2 linked regions of the Styela clava genome follow. The protein of the gene in region 2 purifies or fractionates together with the protein of the main gene of each other region. This does not show direct contact. Links are inferred from orthologs where the notes say so. Each region holds a gene or a part of one and is shown on either strand. Other genes may lie near its edges.

The links.
Region 1: the proteins of DNA-directed RNA polymerases I, II, and III subunit RPABC2-like (region 2) and DNA-directed RNA polymerase III subunit RPC9-like purify together in Homo sapiens (affinity purification with mass spectrometry; 5 studies listed by BioGRID and IntAct, with this or other methods). This does not show direct contact. The link is inferred for Styela clava from reciprocal best matches to the Homo sapiens genes POLR2F and CRCP.

What each region holds. Positions count from the first base shown.
Region 1 is NC_135255.1:9,168,406-9,172,091, reverse strand, and holds DNA-directed RNA polymerase III subunit RPC9-like, read left to right. Parts: upstream 1-790; 5' UTR 791-850; coding exon 851-1,291; 3' UTR 1,292-1,393; intron 1,394-1,596; 3' UTR 1,597-3,067; downstream 3,068-3,686. UniProt on the Homo sapiens protein: DNA-dependent RNA polymerase catalyzes the transcription of DNA into RNA using the four ribonucleoside triphosphates as substrates.
Region 2 is NC_135263.1:9,244,714-9,247,687, reverse strand, and holds DNA-directed RNA polymerases I, II, and III subunit RPABC2-like, read right to left. Parts: upstream 1,369-2,974; 5' UTR 1,358-1,368; coding exon 974-1,357; 3' UTR 530-973; downstream 1-529. Other genes in the region: uncharacterized protein LOC120340860, read right to left, coding at 423-465. UniProt on the Homo sapiens protein: DNA-dependent RNA polymerase catalyzes the transcription of DNA into RNA using the four ribonucleoside triphosphates as substrates.

The DNA.
Region 1 (3,686 bases), on a different chromosome or scaffold from region 2:
GTAATCAATAAATTAAATTCCAGTACGGTATTCAGTATTCCAGTACCGGTATTCAGGCATTTGTAACCAAAAAATGGAACAATGAAAAATGGAATTCGTCAGTTCGCATACCGGTACGGTACCGTATCCCTCAGACAGTCCAGCAGGCAGCAGTCAGACAGTCCTGCAGTCATAGGCCTCATTCTGTCATTCCAGTTTCTTTGTCAGGCACATTGACTGCTGGAACATGTATATCTCAGTATATGGTCTTGGTTTTCTTCGGCATAAAAGAAATCTCAACTCACAGACTCAGCAACTCGAAGACTGAAACCTTGTGGTGAGCTCAGAAACTGGCTTACAACTAATATTACAGTTTGAGTTTACACTAACAGACTAAGTAGGTCAGCAGTTAGGTGAGTTGCAGTTGACGATATAGAAATTTTTAATACCTTTTGAATATGTGGACATTTTGTATTTGGAGAATTAATTATTATGTGTTACACAGGGTAACCCCAAGAAAACAACTTATTTCAAGAGTATTTTTTCCCAATCTGCTATTACTGTACTGTACAATAATTTTTAAGCCTTTAACATTACTCTTTAATATCCATTTGTCTCACAGTATTCACTCAGATCAATGCAAATTTCGTGCAAAATCTATTTCCAGAACTCCTGGCCATTGTTGTCAGAATGTTTATTGGGAGTTAGATAGCAATCTGAATACAGCATTGATTGCTTGCAACTCAATCTATGAAGAATGATTTCTCGACTTGAGTGAGGTTACCGAAATTGAACTGAATTCTTGTTTATTAATTTCAGATTTATAGTATTACTATTAAATAATATATTATATCAATAAAAGTGTAAAAAAATGGAAGTAATATCAGATAAAGTTCCAATGATGTTATCCAATTATGAAATGCATGGATTATTGACAACATATTCTGCAGAAATGAAAACAGGGAAACATAAAACTGGACAAAGAGATCAAAATTTATCAACTATCACATATGAAGTTCTTAAATATCTGGAGGGAACACCATGTATTAATCAAAATGAACAGTGCATTAAAGATGCATGCCTTGCATTGGCACCATATAATTTGTCAAAAGCAGAAAAACTTCAAATAATGAATTTACGACCTACGACCCCTGTTGAAATTTCGCTAATTGTGGAAGAAAATGAAGAAAGAATTTCTGAAGAACAAATAGACGAGATTCTAGAAATCGTAAAAAAACTTCCTCCCGGTCCCGGATCTGAGGACAAGGAGAATGAAGCAGAAGAAATGGAGGAGGAAGTGGGAAATGAATGATTCTCACGTTAATCAACAGCATTAGGTGGTTGATGGATCTTTCGTCATGAAATATGCTGATGTTAGACATTGACTGAATTGTAAAGGCTGAGGGTAAAGAAGGTAAAGCATTGTGGTTTCAAATGCATATTTGATTCACTTGCTTATTTGAATGAAGTTAATTTATAGTAGGTTTATGAAATTCTATCAATATGGATTGAGCAGAACTTGGAATTGGAGATAAAAAAACAAAACAAATTGAAACATTGGCTTGATGATTAATTGACTGCTTTGAAAAATTATTTGAGACAGCTTTACTTTTTCAGAGATTGTGCTTTTCTTGAAAATCACCATTTCAAAGAAAAAACTTTACTGTAAAGGCAGTTCTTTACAAAACTGAACTGGTTGGATGCATGAAAAGAAGAACACATGGAGATTTCAGATTGTTCTATTGTATAAACAAGGACATTTATATTTAACATCTTTTTAATAAATGAAATTACTTTTTATAGCAATGAAGTAATATTCTTTAATGTTGGACTCAAAGTGGACCAATGGATCGTTTCGTTATTATGTTTTTGTCAAAATTTTTCTTCCTATCATTATGAAAAAAAATATTTTTTCTCTTCAATCACTAGACAAATTGCTTTAAAATTTTCAGTGGTTAGAGATTGTATTTTTTCCAGAAGGCTATACCGTACTATTTGTTGTTATTTGTTTGATATTTTAACTAAAATGCGGTGTAATCTTTAATTAGGGGAACTCATTTTTATGCCATCGTGATGACTGTCTTCCACAATTGTATGACATTGTGACGGTACTGTAACAGATTGCATACTTGTACTACAGCGTTTTTAACTTTGTGTTCTTATATTTGAGCATCGCTCTCTTGTTGTTAATAGTTTTCGAAAATGCTTTAAGTTCTCAGAATACAAGTACCGATAAATAACAAATTCTACTATGCTTCATTTCACTAAGTTTATTTAATATTTCAAGTTACTTATTAAAGTCTGAACTGATACGTATTATAAATCATATATTAATAAAATTAATATAACAAACTTCCATGTATGTGTGGTGTGGTTGAAAAATAAAATAACAGGGAACAGAGAAAATGAAAAGTTTGTTACCATGATGGCATCATTTTGAACACATCATCTGTTGTATATTTCACATCAGATTGCTTTGGGTTAGCCTAGGTTTTGAAGTATTACCATATTAATATGTAATGTTTGGAGGAGGCCAGTTTATTATTATGTCACCATTGCATGTCTTCAGAACAAATCATTTTTTTGCTGACAAATAATTTTCGGTTTTTAATTACAGAACTGATTTGTATGGTGGTGTCATTTTGTTGTTGTTGCCAGCTTATTTTTTTTTCTTTGTCATTGTTTGGATTTTGAAATTTATTTCTGCATGATATTTTTTTGTTGATTTGTTTTATTTTGTTTTGATTTAGGTAGATACCATGATATACCTACTTTTCGGTGTGTATATATGGTATCCCAAAAATATGAATGATTGTGTGGTTTGTAAGTTGTAATTCTTGTTCTTTAAAGTTCATGATTGGAAGAAAAAAATGTTCCCGTTATTTTGGACTATTTTGCTGCATAATTATTGTATGAGCTAGCAATGAAGTTTTTTCAATTTTTGATTTTATTTCACTGTATTTGTATAGCAGTATGAAAGGCAATATCAACTATGATTTGTATGATGAATTAAAATCCTTTTAAGTAATAATCTTCTGAATTCAAATTATGAAGCATGATTGCTGATGTTTTTATTTTTATTTTAAAGCATGCTGTATATACTAGTTGGTGTGTTTTGTTTGAGCTTAGCTTTTTGTACTTTGGATGAATCAATGAATAATTGCAAAACACTTTGTGGACATGGATTTCAATAGCGGGTGAGTTTTTTTTGTTCAATTTATTACATTTGGATGAAATTGAAATTGCTATATGTTAATTTTGGCAAGTTTTACTAATTGGCTATGTGTCAACCTAGGAATATGTTGAAATTTTTTTTCTCTGTGGGGGGGGGGGGGAATGGCCCTCAAGGCCACCCTCCCCCAAAATAAAAATTTCGACATATGTATAATGCACGGTGAGACACAAATTCATACGCCTTTTCAAACACCATATTGCTATATTCTTAAATGATTCACGGAAAAACAAACGTTTCTTTGCTTACTATCAATTATTGTTTCACCATGATTTAACAAAATATTGTCATGTTACGCTATGATGCTTTGATCTTGTATAATTTGCATGTTTTTTGGTTTAATCATTGATATGCTTGAAGTATTGACTTCAAGCTCTTTTGCACGATTTTTCTGGTTGCTAGGACGTGATGCTTTATTCATAGTGTGTACGGGGTCTGCTGTTTCCTAATTGTTATTGGCTGTGCCGATTCTTGA
Region 2 (2,974 bases):
TATGTCTATTGTGTCTGCAGATTTATAGAGGTGATAGAAATATATACCATCCAGCACTTTGATCAAGAAATCCCATTCAGGTGTAATATTTTCTACCTAATTTTTTTTATTTGAATGCCATTTGAACAGATGATACAAGAGTTATTTGGATTAGGAAGAAATTAGTGTGATGATATTCAAAATTATTACTCATAGGAAAAAGTGATGATTTTCTGTGATTCTGTGAATTCCCATTTTCATAGAACACAATGATTCATATACCGTATCTAAATTTATCTAACAAAATTATTCACAAGACAGACTTAAATTCTAAACTATTCTGAGTCTTCATATTTAATCCTTCAGCTTTATAAAACTTTTTTTTTTATATATAGAAAATGGATACACACTAACACACAAACATAAATAATCTGAAAACTCACCAGCAGCCCCTGCTCCAATAACAGCTACATTCAAAACTTTCATTTTGATATCAAGAATCAATTACCCAGTAATATATAGAATATCATTTAGGAATACTCAATATAGATTCTAAAAAATGATGGCAGTTTTAAGATAATAAAAAATGTATGCAGTATCATAATTTCAAACAAAATTTGAATACACATAATTGTGACATTAATTTTGTCTGGCAACACACAATGTAGAAATAAGAGTATTGTTCTGTGTCATACAGCTCACCTAAACTTCTGAAACCAGCAGGTAAACGCTCATTTTTCAATTGTGGTTAGAAATTTTTTTGACCCCGATAATGACCTATTAAATAATGTTTAAAAACCAATTTAAAATCAAGACATTTACTAGACCATGGAATAGTATAATTATTTTAATAGATTTCAAGTCGTCCACCAGTAGATGACAGTTTGGAAGCCAGCCGCACTTCGTCAATATCCTAGTTCGATTTGAACATGCATAGTAGCTATAGCTTTACTCAAACAAACGTAGTAATCCATACGGTCTCGTAAAGTCCAAGTTACTCAATTATCAACTCTTCAATACCCCAGTCCTCATAACTACCATCCGGTAAATATCTTCGAACAATAATAGGAATCTTTTTTGCTTTTAGTTCTTTCATTGCGATTTGTAGAGGGTCAGTTTCTCCTTCTAATTCTACCATCACAGGAGCATTCATTGATATTTGTAGCGCCCTGGTTCCCAACACACGGGCACGTTCATATTTCGTCATATAAGGTGAAGTAATACGATTCGCAGGACTTATAGGGCCTGCTTCATGGGCATCTAGAATCCCAACACCTCCTTCTTCTTGATTATCATCATTAGCATCTTCCACATCCTCCATCCCTTCTCCTTCATCATCAAATCCTTCATCAAAACCATCATCCTCATGATCAGACATTTTCTCAGGATCCAAGTACAATAAACTATTTATAAATTACTGCTAGAAATCTGTAATGTAAAGTTTCTATTTCACTACTGACATCAATAACAAAAACATTGAAAACAATCAAAATTTTACAAGTTAACTAACTACTGGAAGATAAAGCATACCCAGAATAGATTTCATTTTCATTATTCAATCTGTATAACGAGAAGAAAGAGCTTATAACCAAATGTTAACTATTTTATAACAACTAACTTATAACAATTTCAATTGAAGATTCTGATATAAAATGCTTTTCTTGCTCTAATAAGTAATGCAAATCTTTATATATGCATTTTTTGGTCAAAATTTAAATATTCTTCTATTATGGGTATACTTAATCAACTAGGCATGGGTCATTAATAATATTAAGTCATGAAATTGTCAGGTGAAATGTTAGATGCTGCTCCAAACAATAAAGAACACTAACATGAATAAAAGCTCATATTGTCAAAACAAGGTACTATCGATCTTTTTAATAACTGCAGTGTAATGATAAAATTCATAACCCAATCAACATTGGCTATACTCGTACACGAGCACTTATAACTTTTAAGATTTGCAAAAATACAATAAGATGAACAGCCTTCATTCCCTGGGGTTCAGACGGAATTATGTTGACGCATTATTACTCAAAAATGAGCTCAGGAGCCATTAATAAGGGTAGTCTATCTGCTGTTGTAGATGGAGAAAATTTCAATGAAAAAATTGTTGAATTCCAAGACCCACGGGAGTGTAGTATCGGTCGTTATATTTGCTATTCTAATAATTGAAAAAACCCCAAGACAATCATTAAAAGATATTATAGTGGCATTACTGAGTATTCTAGCAGAGGGATTTGAAAGAAATAGAAGTTATATTCGCCAACATTCACCGATTACTTCTGTGAATTTAACATACATTATTAGGAGTGGTTTAATACAATGACTTGTTTTCCTTGTACTGACATTAATTGGAATGAACATCAATTATGTTAGAAAGTGGAATATATTTAAAAATTAAAGAACTTTTCAAATTACAGAACTATAGTAGTTAGTGAAGATCTCATATCGTGACTCAAATTAACATATAAAATCAGGAACAAAAACAGAATTCAGCAAGCATATAATGTCCTATTATGATACAATGATATTTGGTATTATGCCATTTTCAACACTTTCTCTAAGAATTGATAGCAATTTAAGAAATTCAATAAAAAATGAACTAATGTTGCAGTACAAAATTTCCCACAAGAAATTGGAATTCCTTTCAAAAATTTGACAATATACAAGAACATAATAGCGATCACATTTCTTAGGATGTAAATATGGTAATCGTTCCTTTATAGAAAACTGAACAAATTACAGTTGGGATAATTTTTTTTGGCTTTTTTTTCACTGTGTATAAGCAAATCCACAAAAGCAAGCTACGAAACTGAAGCAGCAAAACGATACATCAAATAATAATGTCAGGTACAGATGTAAAACTACCATTACTTTGTATTGGGCTTTCAAAAAACATCTACCAAACATCAAAATTGTTACAAGTATAAAACAGCTACCTAATATCCTGTACTGGATAATTTCCAGAGATCATTTAAAATTGAAATATCAA